Linked DNA regions of Alligator mississippiensis. The protein of the gene in region 4 purifies or fractionates together with the protein of the main gene of each other region. This does not show direct contact. Links are inferred from orthologs where the notes say so. Each region holds a gene or a part of one and is shown on either strand. Other genes may lie near its edges. The genes, in order: TTC27, PRPF3, SART1 and EFTUD2.

Evidence for each region.
Region 1: the proteins of EFTUD2 (region 4) and TTC27 purify together in Homo sapiens (affinity purification with mass spectrometry; 5 studies listed by BioGRID and IntAct, with this or other methods). This does not show direct contact. The link is inferred for Alligator mississippiensis from reciprocal best matches to the Homo sapiens genes EFTUD2 and TTC27.
Region 2: the proteins of EFTUD2 (region 4) and PRPF3 purify together in Homo sapiens (affinity purification with mass spectrometry; 3 studies listed by BioGRID and IntAct, with this or other methods). This does not show direct contact. The link is inferred for Alligator mississippiensis from reciprocal best matches to the Homo sapiens genes EFTUD2 and PRPF3.
Region 3: the proteins of EFTUD2 (region 4) and SART1 purify together in Homo sapiens (affinity purification with mass spectrometry; 4 studies listed by BioGRID and IntAct, with this or other methods). This does not show direct contact. The link is inferred for Alligator mississippiensis from reciprocal best matches to the Homo sapiens genes EFTUD2 and SART1.

The regions. Positions count from the first base shown.
Region 1 is NC_081824.1:167,463,355-167,470,777, reverse strand, and holds the start of TTC27 (tetratricopeptide repeat protein 27), read right to left. Parts: upstream 3,015-7,423; 5' UTR 2,935-3,014; coding exon 2,844-2,934; intron 1-2,843.
Region 2 is NC_081838.1:18,909,543-18,917,038, reverse strand, and holds the start of PRPF3 (U4/U6 small nuclear ribonucleoprotein Prp3), read right to left. Parts: upstream 3,004-7,496; 5' UTR 2,999-3,003; coding exon of another isoform or gene 2,916-2,998; intron 1-2,915. Other genes in the region: MRPS21 (small ribosomal subunit protein bS21m), read right to left, coding at 2,916-2,998. UniProt on the Homo sapiens protein: Plays a role in pre-mRNA splicing as component of the U4/U6-U5 tri-snRNP complex that is involved in spliceosome assembly, and as component of the precatalytic spliceosome (spliceosome B complex).
Region 3 is NC_081838.1:4,484,779-4,491,657, reverse strand, and holds the start of SART1 (U4/U6.U5 tri-snRNP-associated protein 1), read right to left. Parts: upstream 3,001-6,879; 5' UTR 2,916-3,000; coding exon 2,501-2,915; intron 2,234-2,500; coding exon 2,176-2,233; intron 926-2,175; coding exon 870-925; intron 306-869; coding exon 179-305; intron 1-178. UniProt on the Homo sapiens protein: Plays a role in mRNA splicing as a component of the U4/U6-U5 tri-snRNP, one of the building blocks of the spliceosome. May also bind to DNA.
Region 4 is NC_081827.1:161,814,726-161,822,596, reverse strand, and holds the start of EFTUD2 (116 kDa U5 small nuclear ribonucleoprotein component), read right to left. Parts: upstream 3,015-7,871; 5' UTR 2,905-3,014; coding exon 2,800-2,904; intron 1,543-2,799; coding exon 1,377-1,542; intron 718-1,376; coding exon 639-717; intron 1-638. Other genes in the region: CCDC103 (coiled-coil domain-containing protein 103), read left to right, coding at 3,370-3,495, 5,204-5,355, 6,458-6,590, 7,567-7,871. UniProt on the Homo sapiens protein: Required for pre-mRNA splicing as component of the spliceosome, including pre-catalytic, catalytic and post-catalytic spliceosomal complexes. Component of the U5 snRNP and the U4/U6-U5 tri-snRNP complex, a building block of the spliceosome.

The DNA.
Region 1 (7,423 bases), on a different chromosome or scaffold from region 4:
CAGCACTCTTCCCTGCTTATGCAGGGGGTCGGACTCGATGATCTATTGAGGTCTCTTCCGACCCTAACATCTATGAATCTATGAATCTACCCCTTCCTTTCTCCCTGCCCCTTCTCCTCCACAGATTTATTGGCTGGAGGCTGCTCTCCAAACTGCTGTGCTGCATTCCTGTAAACTGGCTTTCAGATCAGTAATGTCTGGTATGGCTGGTCAATAATCGGCCATCAGTAAGTGGCCAACAAAATCTTTAATCAGTGCATCCCTAATAAAGTTATAACAAACTGCACATGTAGGAAGGCTTCTCAAACAGCCTGACTCAACTTCAGAAATGCAGGCACAAAGCAAAGCATATTCACATATCAAGAAATACTAAGAATCTTGTCCAGGACCTATACATCTGCCCTTCTAATTTATTAAGCATCAAGATTAGCTGATGCCACTCATGCCAAATTAGCCAGTGCCTCATTCAGGAAAAGAGTCTTCCCTTCCTCTTACAACCTCTAATACTGCAACCAATCCTGAAGCAAGTCACACTAGCTACATCTGTTCTGGCTGACAATGGCCCAGAATTAAACTTTCTGCTCCTGAGCAAACTCAAGATACTTACCTTTCAACAAAGGTGTAACTACAAAGTATGTAGACATATCCAAGCTAGCTCAGGTAGCAGAGCTAACACAAAGGCCTTACACAGCAACATCCCCTTGTTGCACTTTCTGACATCTCTGGTTGGTTGAGAATCTGTCTGGCAAATGACAGCCTGACCTCAGCTGTATATATTGTAGTCCAGATGGGAAGTAATAACTGGGCATGAAGCCATCACCCCTTACAATAATGTAACTAATACAGAATGCTAACGCACTCTCTTCAACAACACAGACAACTGCAAGAACATCAAACCTGTGTTTCATTCTAAACAATGCTAAGTCAAATTTAAGGTCTTCAGCAGGCTGGACACAGCATAGCTAAGCAGTTGAAACTCCACTCCTGCCCACCCCCAAAAACAGAACAGCACCCTCTACAAAAAGGATGAAGCTCACCTGGTGCAAGGGAACACTTTGCACAAAAGCTAAGGACTATGAGAAAGCTCACCACCTTTTGCCACAAGGGACAGGGGTACCTGACAGACAGATAGCAACACATGCTCTATCAAACCGCGGCACTACATAATTAATGTTCTTACTGTCCAGAAGTGAAAGAACAAATCATGTGAGAGATGCTTAAAAAGCACTACTAGATGGTGCTTGGATACTACACTGGTAAATACGTGTAGGAACCTAAATGAAGCAGGTGAGACCATCTGAACAAGGGTGAATTCACCACCTGTAGGAGTGCGGTAGGCAAGATATACACAGCGAGTTGGGGGTGGTGCAGCAGCCAGACTCAGCTTCCCAGCTACCCCCATGGTGGCAGCGGCTCCTTCCAGCTGGTTCTTCCAGGTCACCACCACTGCCAGACCCAGCCCTGCTGCCCAGGCACCCACACCCACCACCAGGGGGGCCAGAAGGTGTGGGGCAGAATCCATGGAGACGGGCCTGAAACCCCCACGGCAGGGTGCATTCGGCCAGGTGGATGGGACGGAGGAGTGGGCAGGCAGGGGTAGCATCCAGGAGCGGGCCAGGGCTGAGATCGTGGGACAGTGGCTGCACAGAGCTGGAACGCTCCCCGGGACAGAGCCACGATCCAAGCCCCACATGTTCCTGCCCACAGAACTGCTGCCTGTCACACGGACATGTGAGAAGCAGATTGCAGCTCTGCCTCAGGCCCCAGACCTGCACTCTCCCCACCATCCCAGCCCTGGCTCTGTCCACCCATCCCACTCCTGGCTGCTGCTCCCAGCCCACCCATAGCCCCATCCCAATCTGCTGGGCCAAGCGGGTCCTGCCAGCAGTGGTCCGAGGCTGGTCTCTATGGAGACTCCATCTGCCTACCCACTCCGTCCAATGCCCCCAGCGGTGGGTGCAGGGCAGACAGCCCTAGGGCCAGATATGATCAATTGCTCCCTCTGCACAACAGCTCATCAGAAGTCATTAAGTGGCCTTCCAGCCCCAATAATTGACTGCCTCTGTGCTGGAGCCACCTTGAAAAGTCTTTTTTATGTTCTATGCATCCTAAACATTTCAGCAAGTGGGAACATGACCACGGTCCTTGGGAGCTTATCTGTGCTCAAGGTACACCAGCAGAAGAAGAGATTAGATTTAAAATCCCACTAAGCCTCAGATAATAAAAATGAGACACTAGCGGCTTCCTCAAACCTTCCCAATAAGAATCCATTTCACTCTAGCAGGAAACATGCACAGCACAAGAGGGACCCAAACACAGGATAGGGCAGAAACCAGGGCAAGCGCACTGTGCAGACAGACAAGTTCAGAGAGGCATCAGTTCCCCTCCACAACAGTTTACTTCACCGGATGCTGCCACAAGTCCTCCCTCGGTGTGGAAGGGGCCACCTTGCTCTAACCAATGCCTGATTTCAGGGTACAGCAGCAGAGCAAAGCACCTCTCCAAACAGAGATGAGCATTTTGTCCCCATGCCTCCCGCAGACAGGGCACTCCCTCCTGCCTGATTTCGGGCTCAAGTCCGAGCCCAAAATCAAAGCCAGCGCCCTCGGCTGGCTTCAACTAGAGGCATCAGCACGAGTGTGCCGGGGATCTCCGGGCTGCCGGGGGCCTACCTACCCCGCAGGTCCCGACAGCCCGCAAGCCCCAACACCTGCAGTAGCAGCAGCACGGGCTCCACCCCGCGCCCAGCGAGGCGGCTTGAAGCGAGCTCGGAGAGCGCCGGCCCCCCACGGGCACCAACAGCCGCCGCGGAGCAGCTGCGCCGAGCCCCGGGCCCCTCTCACCTGCCGCCGCGGCTTCCCCCTGCTGCCAGCCCCGAACCTCCGCCGGGCTCGAGAAACCACACAGCAGTGCCCGCTCCAGCGCCAGCTGCATCCTGCCGCCCTCCCAGCACACGTGCCGCCACCGGCCTCAGGGCGCCGCCATGACACCCGCGCACGGCATGCTGGGATGCAGGAGTGGCAGGCGCAGGCGCAGGAGCGCCCTCGCTCTGTGGGGCGGGAGCTGCGTTCTGGGCGTGGCGGGGTGTGCGCTCATGGTGCTGGGTGTAGGACCTTCAGTCCGTGTACAACGTGCAGTCGATAACAGTAAACGCGTTCAAAACCGAGGATTTGTTTGTGCCCAAAAGCCTGCAATTAAATATTTATTTTATTTTTATAATTTTTTTTTTTTTGCCAAAAATCTTGTTGGCTTAGTAAAAGAGATTGTTTCTATCCGCCAGCCCTGATTGCTCAAAACCTAGGATAATTTTTGAGGCAGTTGCTACAGCACATACAATGCCTAAGTCACTCAGTCTTAACCCACTGCCCTGGACCTTGGCTCCTTCACCCCCTTACGCTCCTCGGCCCCTGGCCACAGTCTCGTACTTTTCGGGCTCCTCCACACCCCAGGGTGCTGGACCCAGGCAAGGCTGCTCCTTTGTTTCTACGACCCAGGGGGTCCCGGACCCGGCAAGACTGCTTGCATGCCACTCCTGGGCCTACATCAAGGATCCTGCTGGGTCCCTGACCCAGGCTAGGCTGTCCTTGTGCCATGCAGCCCCCACGTGATACCTAACCACTACAGGGCTCTTTGGAGGGTGACTCCGTACCACTCATCAGAGGTAGCTACAACCCAGTCCTCTGGTATCTTAACTGTAATGCAAATTCAAGCAACTACTTCCAAGTCAAGTCTCCCCCACTCTGGGTTTATTCCCTGGGCTGGCAAAATATGTCCTGCAGGCTGGATCCAGCCCACCTGGTGATGACATCCAGCCTGCCGGGCCCCTCCAAAAGCTAAAAGACAATTATCTCTGGCCCAGAGCCCTCAGCTGCACGTCTGAAACCCAGTGCCTCCATACAGGATGCACCAGCACCTAGTGGGGCAGTAGCCCTGGCTGCTAAGCAGCCACCCCACCCCACCCCACCCCAATTGCCTCTATATACACTATGCAAACACACACAAATCAGGACAAAAATATTTTTTGAAATAAAATTAAAATATGTTATAGTAAATGTTTCATTTTTAGTATATGATTTTTTTCCAGTTCCAAGATAGCAAAACCCCTGCCCTCTTGAAGGTTTACCTTAAATCCTGTCTCCTCTATGATTTTTAGCACTCTACCTGTTCACTCCCTGCAATCTTCTTCTGATGTACCAGCAATTAGGACATCATTCACATAGGAGACCACCTGATGCTGGTCTGTTGCATCCAACTTTTCCCACATTTTTGTCACATGATCATGACAAATAGCTGGCACACTGTGGAATCCTTGTGGTACTCTGGTGAAGGTGTATTGCTGTTCCTTAAAGGTAAAAGCAAATTTATACCATGAAACTGGATGGAGGGACTAGCAAAAAAAAAACATTTGAAAGGTCCAGCACCGGAAAATACCTAGCCCCACCCACTATTGATGCTATCATTTCTGGAAATTTATCAGCGATGGGGGCTCTCATAGGCGTTACCTTATTCAAGGCCCTATAATCAATTGACAGTCTCCAAGTTTTTCCATCTGCTTTTCTTACTGGCCAAATTGGACTATTATTAATACTAAACATTTTCACTAATACACCTTGCATTCACTAATACCTCCCTTCCCCCCAAAAAGAGTACTTCTAGGGGCAAGGGGAAGGACTTCCAGCAGCAAAAGTCAGGGGTTGGGGCAGGACTTCTGGTCCCAAGATAGCGACCAGGGAGTGGGACACCTTTCAAGGGGCAGGGCTACCCTTGTGGCCATCGACAGCTTATCAAAACTCATTAAGTGGCCCTCCAGGCAAAATAGTTGCCCACCCCTGGTTTATACCATCCTGCAAGCCCTACCTCCTTTTGAGCCCTCACCTCCCAACTCTCATGGCTGTATTTCCAAGTACTAGCCTGCTGTGGAGTCTATCAGGTTTGTGTGCCCTAATAGGGGCACACTTGTAGACACAGAGACATTTGCTGCAGAGCTAATTAGGCAGCTCTGCAGTAAACGTCTCATGGAGAGAGACCCACTGTGTTTGACGGCCCTGAGACAGTTGGAAGCTTTTTGAAATGTTGCTTCTTCCCTGGAGTTCCATCCACGTATTTTAAACAAATAAATTACAATTCCAAGATGCATCAAGCTTGTCCATATATCTTGGGAACGTTCTGCCACATAACAAGAAAATCCAGACAGTTCTGTAATTCTTGAATTTGCTTTGAAATGAATAAACTTTAAGAGGAAGTACAGATATTATAAGTGTATCAATATCAAATCGATACCAAAAGAATACCAATATATGCTATTATGATGTCAAAGTGAAATTATTCTATGGATTATTTTTCTTTTCTTTTCCAGTGGCAAGGCTGCATAAGTAAAAATGTGGGAGAAAAATGTACACTTTTTTAGCACCTCTCCCCCCACACCTCCCACACAGCAGAGGGAGAGGCAGGTACCAGAGTGTTCAGGCTTCATGTTAACTGCTCACAGGCAGTTAACGTGGGCTCTCCCTAGGTCCCATGCAAGGACAGCCCTGTCCCCCTGGGCGTTCATGGGTTTCACACAGCAACAGCCCTTCTTATATTGTTCAATGTGTTACATTTTCAAAGATACTGGACAAACTTTATGTTAAGCACTACTAAATTGCTTTTACAGTTATTTTCTTAACTACAGCTATCATTCATTTTATATAGACACTGAACAGCCATCAACTGGCAACAAGTTTCTGAAGCTAGAATGGATTTAAGTCTGGTGGCAAAAGGTTGTAGAATCACCTACCACACCATCAGTTTCCATCTTCTGTTTTTGTAAAACTGGGAAATGGTTGCAGTTTAAAATGTACTAGTAATTACTAAACCTGTTTGGAATAACCATGATAATATGCTGTCTCTTTGTGTTTGTTTTAGTAGAACCTAAATATATTGTCTCTGTTTCCTGAAGGCTCATGTTTGACAGCTGTATTGGTATACCAGAAATCATGTTTCAGTGAAATGAGGCATTCAATAACCCATTTAATTGTCCATTTTATGTTGCGTCTGAGCTTTACCCCAACTTTAAATTGACTTACATTTTTGTATAAAGAAGGCTGCATGTAGTGTGTAGATTTTTTTTTGTTTGTTTGTTTTTATTCCTCTTGTCCCTGGACAAGCCTGTCTGCATCTTTTTTCCCATTGTTATCCCTATATTTTTTTTTTTAAGTGGTAGTCAAAGGTTAGGTTTGTTTCTTCATTGTTCTGAGGAAAATTGCACTGTTTTGAGGCAGCTAATAAAATGACCTGCCTCAACAACTTACAGATCAGAATTTACTTAAATAGATTTTATTCTCCAAAATCAAAATGATCAATTCTTAAAATTAGCCTAATTGACAGATTAAAATAAAAAATGAATGCCCCAACCAATGTTCACTGTCTCATGAAAACACTGACAAGCAATGACTAAGACTTTAGTTAAAAGGGAAAAAATAGACTTACATTGTTGATATATTTTTTAGTTATTTAAAATGAAATTTCCTTTTGGAATATTTCTGCTTCTAGTTCCCAGAAGGTAATGAATTCTGAATGGTAATAATTTGTAAATGTTCTTCATTGTGGTACTTTGACTGGTGCTTTTATTTTCTTTGAATTAGACTGTGTCACAGGGTACCAAAAACATTTTTTATAAAGCCTGCTTCACAGGCAGTCTGCCCAGCTCCTGTCTGCCACACCTTGATGTTAGTTGTTATAAAGAGTGCAGGAGACTGCCTTGGTCTTTTTGTAGTGACCCCTGTATTTGTGGTCAAGGCCGTATGGGCCAATTGTATGGCTCCATACCTCCCCTGCACCATGCCTCACAGGGCATCCTCACAGATGTTCTACCAGTGGCTTATGCAGCCCCTCTCTGGGTCTTCTGACCCCTCTGCTTCTCTCAGCCCCACTCTGGCCCTCAGACCTCTTGGTCTCTCCACACAGCCCCTTCCTGCGCTGCAAGACACTCAGTTTCCCCCTCAGCCCCTCTTGGGTTGTCAGACCCCTGAGTCTCTCCTCCAGCCCCTCACACAGCCATTCCCTGGGCTACCAGGCTCCTTGGCCCCTCTCCCAGCCCCTCTGGTAGCCCCTTTGGTCTCTTGTCCTGGACCCTTTTTGGGTGTCTCCAGGCCCTCAGACTGATCCAGTCATGCACTCTGTTCCCAGTACCCCACTATTCCCAGGCCCAGTGCTTTTCTGTCAGGGTGTGCTCCCCTAGCCTTCTCCTTCCACAGCATAACCCACAAAGGAGTGAGAGCTGAGGCTTTCCAGCATCCCATACTCACCTTTCCCTGAAGTGGCCCATGCATGGCATTTCATGGAGGCTGCCCTGCCATAGGCAGCCCCACTATGCTAACCAGCCCCAGTAGGGTACAGTTTCAGGTCTTACCCAGGATCAGTCTCTGGCCTTCCTGGCCTTGCT
Region 2 (7,496 bases), on a different chromosome or scaffold from region 4:
GGGGAAGTTGAGGCACAGAGACAGAGAGGCCAATTCCACCTCTCTCTTCCAATCAACCTTCTCTTATTGACACAAGGGGAACTCTTGAAGGCTCAAAGTCCACCCCATACCAGAGCAGGGTTATTCCCTACAGCTTACTTTCCAGCGCACTGACCTCATTAATTTCAAGTGACGACAGTACCTGAACCTGCAAGCCAAGATCTCAGCATTAGGAAACACTTCCTGCTATTCAGCTGGAGTTCGTCCAGTCATTCCCACCCCTTCCTTTCCAGTGAGAACAGCTTGTACTGCTCTAAGCAACTCCCCTTGCCTCTTCCTTTTAATGACCTGCAATACAGGTCACCCTGGACAGGCTTATGAGGTGGGTGGACATCAACGTGATGACATTCAATACAGAGAAATGTAAAGTGCTCCATCTATGGAGAAATAATCCCCAGCACACTTACAGACTTGGCAGTGCTATGCTTGCCAGTACCACAACTGAATGAGACCTGGATGTTATGGTAGACAACAAAATGAACACAAGCCACAAATGCGATGCTGTAGCTAGCAGAGCTAATCAAACACTGGCATACATCTACTGAGGCATCTTGAGCAGGGCAAAGGATGTCATCCTCCTGCTCTACTCAGCCTTGGTGAGACCACAGCTGGTGTACTGCGTCCAGGTCTGGGCGCCGCACTCCAGGAAGGAAGTGGAGAACCCTGAGAGTCCAAAGGAGAGCCATGTGCATAATTAGAGGCCTAGAGACCAGGTCATACGAGTAGAGGCTGAAAGACTTGGGGCTGTTCAGCCTGGAGAAGAGAAGACTCAGAGGGGACTTGGTGGCAGCCTATAGGTATATCAGGGGAGAACATCAGTGCCTGGGGGAGCAACTATTCACCAAGGTCCCCCAGGAGAGGACAAGAAATAATGGGCACAAACTGATTGAAGATCGCTTCAGTCTACACATAAGGAAAAACTTCTTTACAAGTCGGGTGCCGAGGGTTTGGAACAGGCTCCCTCCAGAGGTGGTGTAGTAACCCACCCTTGCAATCTTCAAAATACATCTTGACACACACCTTGCTGGGGTATCCGATTCCAGCAGTCTTAACTGCCTAAGGGGCTGGACCCGATGATCTGTAAGTTCCCTTCCAACCCCTAATGACTATGAAGCTATGTTTCTAATGTTCCCCTCAACTGATTGCCAAAGGGAGTCATCCTATTGCAGACCTCCAGTACTGTCTTGATTATGAGGAGACATTGCACATTGTACAATACTGTATTTCCTCACAAATCACACCCCACCCCCAAATCAGACATGCATCTTAAGGCTGAATTAAGGGGAAAAAAGGTGCTTCCAGAGTCAGGGCTGAATCCTGAACATCACTGCTCAGCCACAGCTACATTTTTAATCTTCTTGCACCTGCTACTGAATTAGCAGCAGCTTCTGGCAGCTTAGTTAAAATTAACTGTGACACCAGAGAAAGAAGCAGAGCTCCAGCAACCATTACAGTGTCTCCATGCTTCTATTCTGACACAGAAACCAGCTTCCCTTCTTAAGACACCCACTCCGCTTTTGGAGAGCTGCTTCTTGGGAAAAGGACATGTGCAGCATGCAAACAAATACAGTATTAGGTAAAACAGCTTTTCCCCTGAATAAAAATCCGTAACTACAGATAAAAAAAACAAACCTTGAATTGCTGCTGCCCCTACAAAATGCCAAAGGAGACTCAAACTGCAGCAGAAAGGACCCAAAAGGTTAAATGCACTAAATACACCAAAACGAAAACTGCACTGGAAACAATAATTCTGACTTGTTTTTGTTTTTTTTACTGCACAAAAATACTACAAGGAAAAGAAAAAAAATCAGACCAGGCTGAGAAGCCTGGATACAGCCAGAGACTGCAAATAAACCAAGTGCCAATTGTAGTAGGGTCCTTCAGAGGCCAATTTATAATCAGAGCAATACAGTGTAGCTGTTAGATATGAACATTACCTTTTCCACCCTTGAAATGTAACATGAACATTATTTTTTCCACCCCTGAAATGTGACCGATACATTTAAAAGTTAGCGTCTGAATTTATGAATGGTTCAGATCCTCATTGCTGTGACCTGACAACACCCACTGGGAAGACGGGCAATGCTGGGTGAAGCTGTGAGACCGTGGTTGCTTCTACATCCATTCTGAGCTCAGATTCGCTGGGCTTCATTTCGCTGAAGCTCAGTTTTATTGCTTTGGGGTCACAGGGAGTTCTTTGCTGAGCTTGGAGGGCCTGTCATGATCAGAAGCCAATTTTCTTCAGAGGGTAATCACAGATCATAGTAAAAGCAAGCCAGAATGTGGTCTCTTTGTCTAACCTCACTAGACTGAACCCTGCTAAACCCAGCCAGGTTTCTCTTGATCCCCTCCGGGTGACGCATAGAGGGGAACAGACAACCCAGACTCATCAACTTTTGAAAAATGGCCCCTCTGACTTCCCTGTGTCCTCGTCTCCTTCGTCATATAGAAGGAAGAAAAGAATCCAGTGTCCCAATCCCGAATCTACTGGGCTAACCACTAGAACACAAGACTGATGGTGCGACACACTAACAAAACCCCCCTGCCTGCACGAGTGCCAAGAACATGACTGGTTCATACATAGGGGGTTAGGTCTGTGTTGTGCCAGGGCTGACAGTAGCCTTACGTAGAGTTTAGATGATGGATTGTATAGAATGGCTGGGACAGGACTGATCCTGCCTCAGGACTAGATGTGACCCCTGGAGCTCCCTTCTAACTCCACTGCTCTAGGGGGGGATTCTTTGCTTTAAGAGCATGACATGAAATCCAAGCTGCAGCTCAAGTACCAGCAGAGGGGGTTCAGGGAGGAATCCTTCGGCTCCCTGTTAAAACACAGCTGCCAACAGGGCCCAGCAAAGGCGGCCACTGCCTCTTACTTGTTCAGTGACCTATATGCCGCCTCCACATCCTTGTTCTGCACCATCACTGTCCGGGCAATGAATTTCAGGTGACTCGCCATGGCGGCTGTGGAGGCTGAGGCTCAGGAGGCACCGGATCGTGACTGGTCTCCACTGCACCACAAGCGGGGACCTAGAAAGGTGGGGAAAGAAAGCCACAGACTTAGACTCTTAGACAATGAGGGTGGGACGGGAGCTCGGGAGGTCACATCTAGTCCAACGCCCTGCTCCAAGCAGGACCAGCCCCAACTACATCATCCCAGGCAAAGCTTTGTTCGAACCAGGCTTTAAAAACCTCCAAAGACGGAGACTCCAACACCCCCGGGGGGAACCCGGTCCAGCGCTTCACCGCCCTCCTCGGGAGAAACTTTGTCCTAATATCCAACCTTGACTCCCCCTGCTGCGACCGGAGCCCATCGCTCTTTGTCTGCCGCCTGCCCCCACTGAGACCAGCCCAGCTCCGTCCTCTTTGCAACCCCCTGCAGGGAGCTGAAGGCTGCTGTTCAACCTCCTCAGTCTCCTCTTCTCCAGACTAAATCAGCCCAGGTCCCTCAGCCTCTCCTCACCAGTCCTGTCCCCCAGCCCCACAGACACTTTCCTTGCCCTCCGCTGCACTCTCTCCCACGGGTCCACATCCCTCCCAAAACTGGACCCCGGGCTCCAGATGTGTGTGGCCTCGCCAGCGGGGAGCCGCCCTGCAATGAGCTGGCCGCTCCCGCTCATGCACCTCCATTGCCCCTGCCTGCGCCCAGCGCCCCCCCTCACCCCCGCCTCCTGCGCCCTGCCGCCCCGGGGCTGCTGCAGGGCTGGGGGCACTGCCCCTTTGCGGGGAGGTGTCTCGGGGGGACCACGCTCACCCCGTCTCGCGCCCCCCAAGGTCCACCGGGGTCACAGGCGCCGCCACCGGAAGCGGAAGTCGCGCCGTCCCGCCCACTTCCGGGCGCCATGGCAACCGGGCCCACGGGGTTCTGGGAGGGGGGAGTCTAGGGCGGGGGCGGGTAAGAGGAGGAGTGGGGGTACTTGGAGCAAGAGGAAGGGCTGGGGGTAAAAGGAGGGGGTGGGCACTGGGGCAATATCAGGGGGATAAAAGGGGGGGTGGGGGCACTGGGGAAAGAGGAGGGGGCAGGGGGCAAAAGGAGCGTGTGGGAGCCTGGGGGCACTGGGGTAAGAGGAGGGGGTGGCGCAGGGGGTGCTGCCTCGGCCCATGTCAAGCACCCACTGCCCCCCTTGGGCACTGCCTGCACGGCGCCCCCTTCCTCTGCAGGCAGGGACCAGGGCGATGCCCCCCGCCCTTGCTGAAACGAGAGCAGCCTGGCCAGGCCCAAGCGCTCCGCCGTCACGAGCCTGGCCCCGAAGCAACCAGCTGGGCTGCCCGTTTTTCGGGGGGCTGTCTGTTTCCCATACCATGCTCTGATTCCACCTTTGTGTCATTTCCTTCATCCCCCCGGGCTAGATCCCCATTGCTGTTTAAGCAGAAGCAGAGAAGATTGCAGCATGGCATGATCCCCTGGCTCCGGGAGCTGGGGCTTTAAGGGAAATACCCGCTAGGGGGAAATCGTGGAAGAGTCAGGCTGGCAGGGCCCCGAGGAGGCCGCAGCCCCCTGCTCAAGGCAGGATCGGCCCCGTCTAACCTGTTCTTGGAAACATCCAAGGATGGAGATTTTGCCACCTCCCTCAATAGCCTGTTCCAAATGTGGCAGGCCAGCCAAGCCTGTTGAAACCAGCCCAGATCTTTACAGCAGTGAGAGACTGATATTTGCACACCAGTGTGGGATTACACCATCAAGCCAATCCCATATTTCAGCATAGTCTGCACCTCCGTGCAGGAGGTCCTGCAGGTGGCATGGGTGTCCCAATTTGTCCTGGCATTGGATCATTTTTGTGTGTCAAGGGGCAGGGCAGTTGAATCAAACTCCTCCCGATGAGTGATCCAGGGAGCCACCTACATTTCAGTGACCGGGTCACGGCATGACACATGAATTAGCCAGCAGTGCCCCAGAGATGAAAACAGAGGGAGCCAGGAAGTGACAGGAAGGTGAATGCACTGGGCAACCAGGTAGGACAGATTAGATGTGACTTTGAGCAAATGAAAGAGAAGCGCACGCAAGATGCCAGACGAGGTTTATTTATTTCCCCTCAGGAGTTCTGCCAAAAGTCAGACGTCGGTACAGCGTGATTCTCTGCTGAGCTGGGGAGCAAAGAGCGTTCTGCTTGTTGAAGACACGGGGCAGCAGGCACAAGTAAATGCACTATAAAAGGCAGGTTAGATAATCACTCTGTCAAGGAGCATTTATGATCAGGGCAGGGTTTGCAGTTGGGGCTTCTGAGTTCCCTTCCCAGCTCTGGCCCTGAAGGCATGTCATCTCCCTGGTGCTCTGTATCCCTACAGGAAAACAAGGTCAAATAACCCTAACCCTACCTGGGGGCTGGAAAGCCTCATTCACTGCCCTCTGTAAAGTGTTTTGAGATCTCTCATAAAAGGCGCATCTGCTGAGCAGCACGGAGAGGTCACATTATCTGCCACTGCCTGTTCATCAGACCCACTCTACCAAGCCAGTATTTAATGTATCTGTCAGGGGGAGGTTACCAGCAAGACTAGGATGCCATGAGACCAATGCTGGTGACATACTCCCCGAGATCAATCAATATCCGATTAATAAATGGGGAAAGCCGTCATCCTCTAGAGCACTGGTGTAGCACAAAGCCCTTCCTGAGGGCCAAGGCTCGGGACTGAGAGGCGCCTGGGGAGCGAAGTGCCCTGTTTATTCACAGAACAGTGGAAGTGAAGGAGTCCCCAGGCTCAGCACCACCTATCACAGCACAGGGAAAATGGTAGCTAGTGAAGTGAGGTCCGGTTAAAATCCTCTGGGATTTTAGGAGTCCCCAGTCCCACCTCATTAAAAGCACCGGGGGAATCTTAGTTTAGCTTCAGTTCAACTCAGCACCCTGTTGCCCAGCTGTCAGCAAAAATCAGGTTAGATGTCTCACCTTGGGCTCAGCCCTGAGATTCAGCAGGGATACTATGAAACAGCCTCTCCTACCATATCCTGATGCTTCTGGGTCCTGAACCACCCTGGAGCAATGAAAGATAAAAAACATCAGAGCCTTCAAATCATCTCCAGTTGGCCTTTAGTCATTGTCATAGACTCCACTAGTTTAAATCAGGATCTCTACAATTCTCAGGGACCCCTGACCCCATCACGCATCCAAATCTGAGTCATAAGTGCAGAGGTGGGTCAGCACTTGTGGGGCTAGAACTGTTAGCTATTAAAATGTAAATGAACCCAAAATGTGCATCCATTTGTGGCTGCGAAGGAGGGAGGGAAAGGAGGGGGTGGTGGGGACACAGCAAGAGCCAGCAGCTGGGAAACGAATCTGATTGATATCCCGTTAATAATCCAGCGGCTTTTTAATGACAGACCCTGTTATTATGGGCTTTTATAAATGGGCTGTAAAAAATTCAGTAAGGCCTGAAATGCAACAGACTAGGTCTTCTGGGGTGAATGTTCCTTTATTTTAAAAGCAGTTTTTTAAAAGGGGAGAGAGGTCTGAGAACAGGATGGAGAGCCAGGATTCCTCAGTGCTAACTTTGCCGCGGTGGGGTAGAAGTTGCTGCATTTCTCTGGGTCTCAGGGTATGGCTATTCTGTGAGTCTACCACAGCCTAGCTTTAAACTAGCAAGCATGGGCATTTCTCATAGTTTGTGAAGGTAAAGAGCTCAGTGCAAGCTACCTACCTCCAAATAACCCCTCCTAGTACCCCAGCCAGCTAGTTTAAAGCTAGCTTGGATGTGTATCTCCTCTGCAAGGAAGAGAAACCCTTTATCTTTCCCCCACCTCAAAACCAGAGAAGGTAACACTTCCCAGTCTTGCAGCCAGACAGAAAGGTGGCTTGTGTTTGCAAAGTGCTTTGGAAAGTAACATCCTAAATATTATTAGTACCTGGTCAGCATTACTCTATGTTTTCACACATCCCCCCAGCTAAGACCTGCACTTTGTTTTGCAGAGGCAGATTGAAGAAGAAAAAGGATTTTTCCTTTTAACTGAATGGCTCAGAATCCATTTCTTCCTTTAAGGTCTGCACCCCAATTTTCACTTGCTAATTTTAAGGGACGGAGGTGAGTGTGGTAGGTGGGTAAATAAGGTACATGCACTAAGATGGTGTTGCACACCAGTGGTGAGAACGGGCCTGGCTGAGCTGTTGCACTCTGCTGGGTTAAAATCCACCTTAGAAGTGCCTCAGCGCAGATCTGACCAGCAGACCAGACAGATTCAGCAGGGGGCGAAGAAAAAAAATCAGCTCCTTCAGTTTTACGGGGCAAGAGATTCTTAAAAATCTCTCATTAGAGAGGTAGCACCGAACCTCAGATACCACTTACCTTGAACCACCAGCCAGGAAAGCAGCCTCTGTGGACTCCCTGTTGATTCCTCCCTTGCATCTCATGCTTGCTCAGATCACTCGTCAGCAGAGGGTTATTTTTTGTTTTTGAGACATGCTGTCAATGGAACCCAGTTTCTGCCATTTGAGGCTGCTCCCCACCCACTTCCTCCTGCCTTCAGG
Region 3 (6,879 bases), on a different chromosome or scaffold from region 4:
TTCTTTGCAAAGAAACACTCTTGGATTCTGCCCCTAGAACTTGTATGCTCTGGGAGACAAAAGCAGGGATGCCGCTGTGTTTGGGTGAGTGGGTGCGAGGGTGGGGGCAGGATAGAAGGGATGTGGGCCAGGGCCAAGACAGCAAGGGGGCAGGGATACAGCAAAGGGGTGAGATTACCCTAATTTCTGATTGAGCAGGCGTTTCTCCTTGGCAGCCGCCAGCTTCTCGCGGATCTCCTCACGCTGCCGCAGTGCCATCGGGTTGATGACATCGGCCGCCATCGGGTCTTCCTTGGTGCCTGCCTCTGCGGGGGGGGGGAGCATACATGAAATATGGGTGTGCCCTGGACCCCCTGAGACTCCCTCCCCAGGCCCCCCCAAGAACCCATAGCACAGAGAACAGCTGGGGACAGGGCTGGGAGGGCCGGGACTGCACCAGCCAGGAGATGGGAAGGGACCGGGGGCGCTGAGAACTCAAGATACCTGGATTCACTCCAGGTCTGGAAGTGGAGTGAGGGGGTGGGGGGGGTGATAGCAGGGGGTGCTAGATCTGGATGCCTGGGTTCTCACCAGCTCTGGGCAGGGAGTGTGGGCTGGGAAACCAGATGCCTGGGGTCTCTCCCAGCTCAAGGATAAGAATGAGGCCTGGGGGATTGCAGCAGGGGTTGAGAGAGCCCGGACCCCTCGGTTCTCTCCCAGCTATTGAATGGGAGTGGGGGCTGAGGTAGGGAAAGACAAACACTCGGACCCAGATACCTGGGTTCTCTCTAGCTCCAGAAGGCAAGTGGGGGCTGAGGGGTTAGAGTAGGGGGGCTGGTAGGCTGGGTGCTTGGGTTCACTCCCCCCAGGCATGCTCAATACAGACTTACCCTTCTTGATGGTGCCCACTTCCAAGGGCTTCAGGCCCAGCTTGGCTCGGAGTTTGCTACAGACAGAAAGTGGTGACAGTCACAAAGTGCCTGGGGCTCAGAACCAGGGCTCCTGGACCAGCTCCCCTCCTTCATGACCCATCCACCCTCATGTACATTGGGGCTGTGACCAAGACTGATGTGTCACACTATTTATTAAACTGAGTATTAATGAATCAGGGTGGTGGGAACCCAGTAAGCCAGGGGTGGGCAATGACTTCAGCTAGAGGGCTAGGTAATGAGTTCTGGAGAACCACACCTGCTAAATCTTTTGCATCTCATAACAGGTCAGAGACAAAAATTGCATACAAAAACCCAGGCATGTACTATGACGCATTTTAGTTTTATTTCAAAAAATAATTTTTAAGCCTGGTCTCCGTTTCAAGTACTACAAAAACAGGCAACTGTATAATAGCTCAAAAATAAAATCTTACTCTTGTATGTTGTCTGAGCAGGGTGTTGAGGAGGATACGTGTATGTGGGGGAGGGGGGGTATCCATGGAGGAGTGGGTGTGGAGGGATGTGAGGTGCATGTGGAGGTGGGCTGCCTGTGCACTAGGTACCAGGAGCTGGCTGGGGGTGAGGAAAGGTTGGGGGGGGGGTACAGGGGACACATGTAACAGAGCTTGCCCCGCCGGGGTGGTGCAGCTGCAGTCATCCTCCCACTCCACCCCATTTGGCTGGCAGCTGCCCCCACAGTGCCCCGCAGGGGACTGAGCCCTGTCCACTGCCACCTGGGGCAACAGATGCCGCGCTCCCAGCTGCCCCGGCCCCAGCCAGGGCCCACTTCTGAACAGGGCTGCTGCAGCCGCCCAGGTGCTGCTCCTGCCCCCCGCAGCTCCTCCTCCTCCCTCCTGCCCATGCTGCGCTGCTCAGGGCAGCGCACAGCGCAACCAGCAAAGAATCTCCCTGCCTGATCTCACAAACAACTGGATCCATTCACCCCATTAGAACGAGATCCATTCAGCCCAAGATTATTATGGGAAACATGGGGTCTGGGCTAGCAGTGCCTACCCCCCTAGCAGGGCTCATAGCCCCTCCTCAGGGCAGCTGCACTTGCCAAGACCTGACCCATGGGGGGCAAAACAGGCTTCCCATGAGCTGAGGGCAACTAGGCGGGACTGGAACAAAGGCGAGGTGTTGCGCCCCGCTCGCCTGAGAGCTGTAGCCCCCCCCAACCCCAGCCCCAACCCCACCTGCATCCACGGGGTGAGGCACGACTGCACCACGGGAAGGTGGGGGGGATGGGAAAGGAGCTCTCACTCACTTGGTCTCCTCAATGCTGAGGGACAGGGCTTCTCCAGAGCCGCTCTTGAGCGCTGTGGCTGGTGCGGAGGGGAGCAAGGGGGAGACGTGAGTGAAGCCAAGAGAAGTCCCCTCTGCCCGGAACTTCCCAGCCAGGACCCAGCCCGAGCGTCAGATCTGCCACAGACCCGGGCTCCTCACAGCCCCCTCCCGACACCCCATGACCCCCACCCCACAGATAAGCCTCCACCCTCATCTTCACTCCTCCCCATTGCCCTGCTCCCCGAAAAGCAGCCCCTCCCTCACTCCCCCCCCTTTCCTGTACACCGCCCCCACGCCCCCCTCACCGGTCTCGTGCCCGTCCTCGCGCCGCTCGCGCTTGGCCCGTCTGCCGCCCTCGGCCTCGGCGGCCCCGCGCTCCCCGGCCCGGCCATGCCCGCGGCTGCTGCTGCCCCCGGGGGCGGCGGCCTCGTCCCCACCGCTGCGCCGCCGGCTCCGCTCCCCGCGGCTGCGGCTCCGCTTGCCCCGGCGCTCGCTGGAGCCCGACCCGGAGCCCGACCCGCCGCCGCGGTGCTTGTGCTTCTTGTGCTCCCGGTGCCGCGAGGAGGAGGAGGAGGAGGAGGCCGAAGCCGAGGCGGGGGCGGGGGCCGAGGCTGGGGGTGGGTCCTCCGCGGGCCCCGCCCCACCCCCGGCGGTCCCAGAGCCGGCCCCCGGCGCCGCCGCCGCCTCCCCGCGCTCCCGGTGCTTCTTGGAAGAGCCCATAGCGACGCAGAATGGCGGCCGCAAACCCTTCCGGGGTCAACCTCCCGCCGCTTCCGGGGTGAAAGACGTCCCTTCCCGTCTCGCGAAACACTCCTTCCGGGTCACGGCTTCTACATCCGGCGAGGTCAGGACACGGCTTCCGCGTTCGTCGCCACTACCTCCGGTGGACGTGGGGAAGGCTCAGTCACATGACTTCCGTGGTTACCGTCGCTACTTCCGGTCAGTCATACCACTTCCAGTGGCCAGCCTTACCTGCTTCCGGGAAGTGGGAGAGCGCTGAAAGCTACTTCCGCTTTGGCTCCCGCTAAATACTATCTTGTGCCCAGCCGCCGTCGGACTGTACCATTCCTGTAGTGGAAGCGGGGGTGGAGTGCCCCTGAGGGGTGGAGGGAGGCTACTCATCCTAGGCCTTAAATAACATTACCTTAATTGGGGTTGAGGGTTAACTCCCCCCATTAAAAGGCGGAGAATGGTATGGCCCATACACTGCTCTCGAGGCATGTAGGAACACATCAGTGGTAGAATAGGGAGAATTCTTATCCCCCTACTCAGGGAACAGTGGCATGACCCACGTATGCTGGAAGGGGGAGAATCATATCGGGGTATAAGGAGGAAAGATTCCCCCCCCCCCCCAGGGGAAAGGATGGTGTTATCCATTTGCTGCTCTGGATGCGTACAGGCAAATACCATTGGCAGTACAAAGGGGGCGATTACCCCTCTCCTTTACAAAAGGAATGGTATGACCCACACTTCGTCTGTAGGCGTGGGGGGCGGGGGGATACTATTAGGAGTACAAGGAGGAAACATTTCCCCTCGGGAGTGGATAGGATTGTATAATCCACATGCTGCACTAGATGCATATTGGGAAATGCTATTGGTAGTAGAAGGGGTGGAATATTAGACCCCCCCCAGAGGAAAAAGTGGCATGACCCACCTACTGCTCTGTAGGCACAGAGGGACATACCATTGTAAGTAGAAGCGTGAGGAAAATGTCCTTTCTCCCAATGGAAGGAAGAGATGGTATGATCCAGAAGGGGGGAGATTGATTTTCCCCACCAAGAAGGCATGGTACAATCCGCACAGTCTGGTGCATCCTTAATGGCATGTACCATTGATGGATCGTGGGGGTGGATTTTGCACCCCTGCAGCACAGCGCCCCCTGGCGCTGTATGAGGGCAGCGCCTGCAGTGGCTCAGTCTCCCTCCCAGCTGGTTGCCCAGTGCTGGGAGAAAACCCAGGCGCGTGGGCTCTCAGTCATCCCAGCTCTAAGCCCCGAGTCCGACGCCCCTCCCAGGGCACAAGAGAACCCGCTCCTGCTTCCAGCCCCCGGACTCCGCGTCCTTCCCCTAGCTCGAGAGCCCAGCCATCCCGGCTTCCAGCCCCAACTCCTCCCCAAGCAGGAAGAGAACCCAGGTGTCCCGGCTCCCAAGGCCTGTTTAATTCAGGGCAGAAGCTACGCTACTCCAGGGCCTTCTCAGGTGGATCCAGAGGTGGGTCTCGGCCCTTGTCCGCGGAGACCTGTCAGGAGGGCACAGCATCCGCCATGGCAAAGGAGAGAACCCAGGTGTCCGGGCTCCCCCCTTAATTCACCAGACCCTGCTCCTCTCCGATAGCTGGAGGGAACCCAGGCGTCCGGGCAGGGGGCTCCTGTTCATACCTGCTGAGGGGGGGCCCTGGTGCCCCGCCTGCCTCCACAGCCCGGCCTCCTCGATGCCCAGCGCCTCCAGCACCTGGGAGAAGCGGTGCTCTATGGCCCGGCGGGCACCGGCCTGCAGGGCAGGGGCTGTCAGCTCCCAGCCGCCCCAGCTGTAACCCCCCAAGTCCCACGCCCCTCCCAGAGCACGAGAGCACCCAGGTGTCCGGGGCGGGACCCGCACCTGCATGACCCTCTCAAAGAGGTAAGGCCGGCTGCTCACGCGAGCCTCCATCTCCCGCAGCTGGGCCTTGTACAGCGCCATGCGCGCCCGCTCCTGAGACCTGGGGGGGCAAGTCACATAGGGGGCAGGTTACAGGTGCCACCCCCACCCTCCCAGCTGTCAGGGGACCCCTGCAGACCCTCCTGCCCTGGGCTTGGGCTCCTGCAGGGGTCTATAGGACTTGGGATTTCTTGGCAAAGTCTGTAGGGGCCGGAGAGTCTATAGAGGCTAGCTAATCTCAGAGGATCTATAAAGGCTGGGTGTTCTCTATTGGCAGGAGCCATGTAGTTTTCCTAGAACGGCTGTGATCTGTAGGGAATTGATAAGGATTGAGGGGTGTCTATAGGCCCTGGGACCTATAGGGAATCTTTAAGGGCTTGGCTTCTATAGTCTGGGCTCTATAAGGGCTGGGGGTTCTATAGGAGGGGGAATCTGTAAGGGCTGAGGAGGTTCTATAGGGCATCTGTAACGGCTAGAGATTCTTTAGGGATTGGATGTCTACAGGGTAAGAGCTGGGGGTCTACAGGGCACGGGGCTATAAGAGGTGGGGAGGTTCTATAGGGCACATATAAGGGCTAGGGGCTGTGTAGGGGTTGGATCTTTAGGGTTTTATTGGGTCATAGATGCCAGGGTCAGAAGGGACCTCAACAGATCATCGAGTCCGACCCCCTGCCCGGGGCAAGAAAGAGTGCTGGGATCAGATGACCCCAGCCAGGTGCCTATCCAGCCTTCTCTTAAAGACCCCCCAGGTAGGGGAGGGCACCACCTCCCTCGGCAGTCCATTCCAAATTCTGGCCACCCTTACCGTGAAGAAGTTTTTCCTGATATCCAGCCTAAATCTGCTGTCTGTCAGTTTGTGACCACTGCTCCTTGTTACCCCAAGAGGTGCCCTGGTGAAGAGAGCATCTCCGATCCCTTGCTGCGTCCCGCTAATGAATTTGTAGGCGGCCACAAGATCACCTCTCGCCCTTATCTTGCAGAGGATGAAGAGGTCCAGGTCCCTCAGTCTCTCCTCGTAGGCCTTCTCCTGTAAGCCCCTGACCATACGAGTGGCCTCCTGTGGACCCTCTCGAGTCTATCAACATCCTTCTTGAAGTACAGCACCCAAAACTGGCTGCAGTACTCCAACTGTCCAACCAAGGGGAAGTATCACCTCCTTGGATCTATTTGTCGTGCATCTGCTGATGCACGATAAAGTGCCATTAGCTTTGCTGATGATTTCGTCACACTGCCGACTCATGTTCATCTTGGATCCACTATGACTCCAAGATCCCTTTCTGCTTCTGTGCTGCTGAGAGGGTCACTTTCCAGGCAGTAGATGTGCTGGATATTTTTGCACCCTAGGTGCAGCACTCTGCACTTGTCCTTGATGTACTGCATCCTATGGTGTACTGCCCACTTTTCTCACTTCTCCAGGTCTACCTGCAATTGTTCCCTACTCTCCGGAGTGTGTACTTCACCCCACAATTTAGTATCATCCACAAACTTGGACAGAGTACACCTCACACCCACATCCAAGTCACTGATGAAGATATTGAAGAGTCCAGGTCCAAGGACTGAACCCTGCAGGACCCCACTACCCACGTTCATCCAGGTCGATACCTACCCATCTACTACCACTCTCTGGGTTCGACCGCTGGGCCAATTTGCCACCCACTGAACCGTGTAAACATCTATGTCACAGCCTCTTAATTTATTTCTGAGAATAGGATGAGATACCGTATCAAAGGCCTTGCTAAAGTCCATGAAAACGACATCCACCTCTACTGCATCTAAGCATTTTTTACACAGTCATAAAACGAAACCATATTGGTCAGGCATGATCTACCTGCTACTAATCCATGCTGGCTGCCCTGTTGCATTACTTTTCCCGCTGGACTCCCACAAATATGATCCTTCATGATCTTTTCAAAGACCTTTCCAAAGATGGAGGTGAGACTGACTGGCCTATAATTACTCAGATCCTCCTTCCTCCCCTTCTTGAAAATAGGGACCACGTTGGCCCCTTTCCAGTCCTCCGGGACCTGACCCGAGTGCCACAAGCGCTC
Region 4 (7,871 bases):
AGGCAGGTGCTGCCCAGCCAGGGCAGTGAATGTGACCCTGCAGGCATCTTGGCCAGGGAGTATAGGGAGGGGGACGGCTCCCCACCGCTGCGCACACCCACAGGAGAAACATGGGGGGCATGTGTGCCCCGGATTTGTGCACGGGGCATAGTATTTACCAGTAACTTTACTGGTAATGCACCTCTCGTATTTACCAGTAACTTTACTAAGCGTTGCTAGGGCAGTGTGTCGTGCTGATGTCTGCACTTCAAGAATGATTTTAACAACATGAGAAGAGTTCAAAGAAAAGTCATGAGAAAGCTGAAAACATGCCTAATAGAGCCACAAGATCAATCTGTGCGGCATAAAGAAAGTGTGAGAACAAGATGACTAAGGAGCAACCTGTGTAGAGAACAGAAACATAACCAGAAAGTTACTGCCTTGGCAGTTACATTAATAGGATTCCAATACTACTAAAAGGCACAATGGCTGCACCTTCAATTTGCAGCAGCTTTCTCCTCAAGGCAACCCCCACACACCCCAACTTTCCTTCCCTCCAGTGGCAAACCTGGGTGGAAAGTGAAAGAGAAAAAAAATACAGGAGAGCTAAACCAGATGTGCACTTAAAAAACAAAGCCAAAAAACTATACAGTACTCACTCCATCTCATATACAGTGACAGGTAATGCCTGCTCCATCAGGGAGAATTTCTTGGTTTTCACAGGTTTAATTATTGGCTCTGAAACCAAAATAAAATTTTACAGTGAAAAAAAATGTTCTTAAAATGCTGATGTTTGGAGACATTAACCTAAGGCATTAACTGAGACAATACTAAGCATATTACTAGACCAAAAAAAGTGATATTTAAGGTTGATGACACCACTTTAACTGCTTTATTTGGGGAAGATTAAGACATAACTGAAACAGATTTTCATTTGCCTTCTTTTAAGATCTTTTCAGCCACAGTTAGTGTATGCTCTGCACATCTCACAACAGAACTCCTCTGGCGTTCGCAATGGTGCACTGATGCCTCTGGGCATCTTTAACAAAGTGGAAAGAGTCTTGGGAGTTTGGAGGTTGAAAAGGATTTTTATAAGGCAAATTAAAACTGGTAAGGAGCCAAATATTTGGCTCATTTGCAGGCTTAACTCAATTTCCATTATCACTTTTTTCCCTTTAAGCAGAGACTTGGTTCTTTTACTTTATGAATTAAATTCTTTTTTGTTAATACTCTCAGTAGAATTTCTATTAAAATGCCAAAGACAAAACAGACTGAATGTCTGAGAAGATGCAAGTAATACCACCACCAGCAGGATTTCAGAGCCTTTCTTCCTTCCATGATTGCCAACAAAAACCTTTCCTGATCAGAAATCTGATTTACTGACTATAATTACTTACCAGTGAGAGGCTGTGTATCCTCTTCCTGCACTATAGTCTCTACCTCAGGCCCATAGACCTCTTCTGCAGTGGGATAGTATTTCTTATCCTCATGCAGTACCACCTCCATTCCAGGGTGATCTTCATCATGGTCTCCCATATCGTCATCATCGTCATCATCATCAAGCTGAAACCGACAACAGAAATACTTTATCCACCCAACAATCTCAAAGAGCTTTTTAGATGTTAAGATCCACAAAACCCCTTCTAAGGTTTGTATTCTCAACCCCATTTTAGGATAGAAAAACGCTTGTGGTCACATATCAAATCATGAGCACAGGTGGAAGCCACACTGACTTACACCAAGATTGGGACCTGCACCGGGACTGAATATCTCTAGCACTGATCAGAAACAGGTCCAGACAGGAGTGCTGACAATCTCTCCCAATTTTTATTTAACAGCCATTTTCCCCACCTTGAATCCATTCCAGAGGCCACTGCCAAATGCAAATATTCACTGGATGTGGATGATTTAGGAGCATCATTCCTACATTCATGCAGGTGTGGTTGGACCAGATGGTCCCCTGAAGTCCTTCCCAACCCTGTGATTCTGTGCAACCACAAGATGTTGCCTTCTGTACATGTACATAGGCTACCAAAGTTTTGCCAAGCAAGCAGCAAGCCAGGCTACGCTCCACATCAAAGCACAATTGCAAAATACAGCACATGAAACTCTAACTGTATAAGATTTGTTCAGAAAACTGTTTGATCTGTTCAGGTCCCTCCTGACCCTAGCTACTATGAAACTATGAAGAATCTGCGTGGTAAACTGGTGACTATTTTTCATTTGCCTGTAAACAACTCTGAACAACCACACCATTAGGAACATTGTTCTGGGTCATCAGGTGCAGCCCCTTTCACCACACAACACATCCCAGTGACCATGCCTCTGCTCTGGGGTTATAAACACTACTTCTGTCTCTCCATTATATCAGGAGGCAAGGCCAATACACCCCTTTAGGAAGTAACTAAGACACACACACATGCATATAAAGAAAGAGTGAGTGCATGCAAGCTTTCATGGGCTGAAGCTCACTTCATAAGTGAAGCAAGTGTCAGCTCGTGAAAACTCGCTCGCTCTCTCTCCGCCCTTCTCTCCCTCTCCCCCACTATCCATCTGACCTAGTGCAGCGGTTCTCAACCTTTTTTGCACCAGGACCCACTTGTAAACATCAGTGGCCAGTCCTGACCCCTCACGCCCGACCTGCTGCCTCCTGCCCCCACGCCCCAGCCCCCACTGTGTGGGGCAGGGGGGCCCAAGCAACCCCTTGCAGGTTGGACCTCTGCCTGCAAAAGCCAGCTCTCAAGAGCGGAGAAGACGGGAGAGAGTCTAGAGGGCCCCGTCTCCCGGCGGCCCCCCGCCCCCCGCGGGGAGGGGCCGCACCTCGTCCACGTCCTTGGCCTCCCGGCCCAGCTCGTCGTCGTCGTCGTCCGAGTCGAGCTCGGGCCCGATGTAGTTGCCGAACTCGTCGTACAAGTCCGTGTCCATGGCGCCAAGGGGCGAAAACGAGGCCTGTCTCCGCCTCCCCTCCCGAAAGCGGCCCCGACACGCACCCGGCTCCGCTACCGCGCGCCTGCCCTCCCGCGCGCCGGCCGCCGTGCGACGCTCGCGTCGAAGGACCCCCCCCCCACCGCGTGGGGGGTGGCCAAGCTGCCCGCCTGAGGGGCTGGTCACTTCAGTGCCCCTCCACCAGGCAACCGCTGTGGGGAGAGCTCGGGGGCTGGGTGGGGAGCGGCCGGCCTGAGTTTTGGGGGGAGGAGTGTCTGGGTTCCGAGCAGGCGCTGGGTGGGGCAGCCCCGGCTGGAAGGGGCCTCGGCGGCGCGTCCCGCTGTTGCTATGGAGACGGTCGGTGAGACGGGGAACCAGTGTCGGGGCAGCCCCGGGGCCGGGATCGGGCCCGGCGGGGAGCGCTCTGGGGTCCGAAGTGCGGCGTGACAGGGGAGACTGGACAAGATGGACTGGTGGTCTGACCCAGTCAAGGGCAGTTCTTGTGTTCTTCTGAGACTTGTCTCAGCTGAGATGGAACGCAGGTGCCCTGGAAAGTTGGGCCCAACTTCAAAGTCATCATTTCAGATTGGGGTTTGCATGAACTCACTGTATAATTAATAGAGGTGCACCGATAGATTTTTGGGGGCCGATACCAATGGCCGATTTTTAACGAGCCGTTTCAGCCGATACCGTTCCAATCGCTGATGTGCAGCCGGGCAGTGTGGAGAGCAGCCTCCCGCTGATAAGTCTGTTGTGGGGGGAGGGAAGGGCCGTGGAGGGTGCAGACTGAGGACCCCGCGCTGAGGGAGGGAGTGGGGCTGGGGGGCCCAGGACGGAGCCAGGAGTGGCTCATTTGGGAAGGTGTGGGGTGGGGGGTGCAGCTCCCACCGCTGCCCATACCCTTGGGGGGGCCATGCGGGGCGTGTGCCCCCGCATCTGCGTGCAGGGCTAGGGCAGGTTGGGCCAGGGCTGTGTTGAGCTCTTCCTGGCAGGGGGGCTGGGCTGGGCTGTGCTCAGGGTGGGCAGTGGTGGCACTGGGTGGGGCTAGGGGCGGGGCTTCAGCCACCCCAAAATTTGCCATAGCCCTCCCAACTTCCCCTCCCAGCACTGCCGCCATCCTCCCCAAGCACAGCCTGGTCCAGCCCCCCCACCTGGGAAGAGCCCAGTGTTGCCTTGGCCCCAGCCCCCAGCGGCAGCTTGCCCTCGGCCTGCGCGCAGATTCAGGGGCACCCCCCCCCCATGCCTCCCCTGGGGGTGCGCACAACAGCAAGAATCACCCCCTTTCCCTGTGCGCGGCCAGTCCTGCACCCCGGCTTTGCTGGGCAGCACCTGCCTCTGCCCCAGCCCCACTCCCTCCCTCACCATGGGGGCCTCAATCTGCCCCCCCCTATAGACTTACCGGCCAGACCCGTCTACTCTTCATGCTGCCAGGCTGCACTCCTGGCTGCCTGCATGCTGTGCTGCAGCTTCGCGAATGTATGGGGCATTTATTGGCCACACCAGCCAAAAAAAGCCGATACACTCAATTTGCCTTATATTGGTGCTGATCCAATATGGGACCAATGTATTGGTACACCTTTAATAATTAGATACGTGCAGCAAGTCTAACAAGAGTTCAAGTAATATACAGGATGTGAAAGAGCAAGGAATATTCCCCTTGCATGGTGCTCATGCACCCCAAGTAATTCTGGCTTGTGGGCAGATAGAGGTCATTAGTCATGTTAGTCTGAAGTCAGGCAGCAGGCAGGGTAGAATTGCACCTTGTAGATAAGCGGTGTCAAACTCACCTGGCACTTTAGGCCAGATTTAGACCCCAAGGTCTCTTGGGCTGGATCTGCAAAGCCAACGGTGTGTAGGGCAGGGGATGAGGTAACTTGGTTTGGGGGCTGGTGACAGCATGGGTCCAGGGATGAGCACGAGGCAAACGAGGGCTGTATGCACACCACGCCTCCTAGCTATGCTGTCAACTTCTGGTAGCCTGCTGGACTACCAGCAAGCCAGATGGAACAGTTTGATGGGCTGGATCCAGCCTGCAGGCCAGACGTTATAAAGTAACTAAATCAGAGATGCAGTTATACACTATATTAAAATAGTGTGTAAAAGGGACTTACCACTTATAACTGCTTCATCTTGTTTATTCTCATCCCAGCATAAACAGAATTAAACTGAATGAAACAGGTGTAAAGTTACACTGATACAGAGAGGACAGATGAAATAGTTAAGTTGGTTCAGCATGAGTCACAGTAAACTGGTATAATTGTTTGGTCTGTGCATGCCATTAATTATGTTTTGCTCTCAGGTTATCATCATGGACAAATCTGGAGCAATAGATTTCTGTGCTTTGGAGAGAGAACTACAGGCTGCTGTTGCTGCTGATGAAAAGTACTGGAGAGAAAATGATGCCAAATTTCGAGCTGTTCACCAGAAGGTGGCATCCTATGAAGAATTTAGGTTTGCAGGCAACTTGTTTCATGTGGCGAGTCTGGAGTTGGGAATACAACAATCCAGTGTTTCTTTCATCAGGATGAAAGTTTGTATTTCTGAGTGTCATGTAGTGACACTGTCTGCTCAGAAGTTGTATTGTCATATCCTCCCACCTGTGTGAGGAGGACTGAATCTGTGAGAGTGTCTGAAGCAATAAGGAGTATGTGTGACCAGGTCCATGTCTTTCACCCACAACTCAATGGCAACACAGTTTCTTGTGATAGGAGCTCTTTGTCTAGGCCAACTTGCTGGGTAAGGGACGTGTAACTCCAAAAGCTCTATCCTGCAGCTTCTCAGAAAAGTCATGAGATATTCCTCTCTGTGGGGAAATTACTCAGACCCTAGGAATCTGAATCAAAACAAGATGTGTTAAAAACAAAGAAGAATGGAATTAAAAAGAAAGGAAAGGTTTATTTAGCACCCATACTATAACATTTCTCATAAAGGGGACTGGCCTTCGCAGCACAGATCTTACACACATTGCCAGCATAAGTGGCAAACCCCTCTAAAGTGGATGTGGTTATACTAGTATAAAAAAAGCTTGTATTAGTTTGATTTGGGAACTAGTACAGGCTATATATTGATGTAAGACACCTATATTTTCATTTAACTGCATCTGCTAGAAAACTGAGAGAACAAAAACCATACCCTTAACCAACATCATTTGGCTGGAAAAACTTTTATTTCTAGACTGGGGTGCTCAACCTCTGGCCCACAGGCCAATAGTGGCCCATGGAGCCAACTCATTTGGCCCATGGGGCTCCCCACAGGTCCAGAAATGTGATGGTGGGGGAGCAGTGAACATTAATACAGTCATTCTCCCTGCTGCCAAAACCCCAAGCCCTGTGCAGCTGTTTAGAGCACCCCATTTCCTTTCACCCTGTTTTTGGATTATTGGAGCTGGGGCACCCCTTCCAACCCCTTGGGGCCAGGCCACCACCACCCCAGAGTTGGGTTGGGGCCTGGCCACAATCCCTTCCCCTGCAGGGCCCAGTCAACTTCCTTTCCCTGCAGGATTGCGTTGGTGTTGATGTGGAGGGTATTTGCTCTTACAGGATTTTGCTTATAGGGATATTGTGCAGGCATCACACCTGAAGCCCCTGGAAAAAAAGGATAAATTTGGAAAAAAGAAAAACCTACTGTGGAATTCCTGTGCAACCCAAGCTAAGTGCCAGCAGAACAGCGAGGTGGAAATAGCCCAGGTGAGGAAAAAAAACAGTCTATAAACTTACTAGGGAGGACCAGCGTGGTTTGGGAGAGACCTTGTTCCGCCGAGCGCCTCCCAGAGTAACAAGGAATAACGGCCATAAGTTGCTAGAGAGTAGGTTTAGACTAGACATTAGAAGGCGCTACTTCACAGTCAGGGAAGCTAGGATCTGGAACCAACTTCCAAGGGAAGTGGTGATGGCTCCTACCCTGGGGTCTTTAAGAGGAGGCTCAGCATTTACCTGGCTGGGGTCATTTGAGCCCAGTTTTCTCTCCTGCCCAGTGTAGGGGGTCGGACTAGAAGATCTACAAGGTCCCTTCCGACCCTACATCTATGAATCCTCCATCACTATTGGTTTGTTGACATCTGAAAGTTATTGCAGAACAAGATAGCGTGTGAAATTCAAAACAGACCAGAGGCCATTCAGTAGAGAAAGCAGTGGATGTTAGGTTGCAGAGAATGAGGATTCGAAAAAGCAGGCCTCCCCCAACCTGAGGAAAGACCACTCAGAAGAAATAGCAGTTCCATATGTGAACAAGCCCTAAACAAATCCCAAATATTGAAATCTCTTGAGTAGATCAGATCTCCATTTAGTCCTACATCCTGTCTCTGCCACTGTTCCCTTATTGCCAGGGTGAAAACTAGCCTTTTACTCCTGAACTTTGTTTGCTGTCTCTTCATTGGCTTCTGAGCCATAGCACTATTTTACCTTTCTTCCTGTGACTTCAGTTACCACAGGTGACCTGTTTTGTGTGACCACCATCCATTCTTTCCTTGGAATGAAATCTCAGCCCCATTGAAGTCAATGGGAGTTTTGCCAGTTTACTTAGGATCCCATACCCCCTTACACACACATACATTCAGACAGTCATCAGTGTGTACAGACTAATGAGAGGGATTTCAGAAGTAGAAAGGAAAGGAAACAGGAGAAGCCTGGTGCTCACTTATTGCTGTTGGTCTTTTCTTTCCAGGGGTTGGACCGATTACCTGAAACCTCTTCAGAATTCTACAGAGATTGGCGCAGATGCTTAAAAAGTGGGCAAGAAAAATACCAGTTCCTACTGCAGCTCGGAGGCACAGGCCTGGGCAAAATCTTTCAAGCGGATCTCGGCTTTGGCCTCCTGGGCGAGTTCCTCAGGTTGTTGGCAGAGAATGTCTGTGGTGAAGACAGAGAAGCCACCCTGCATATCTTACAGAGCCTTTCAGAAACTAAGCGCTTTGGGCTCAATGTGGATCTCCTGAGCCAGGTGGAAAAGGAGAGCAGTAGGGACTTGTT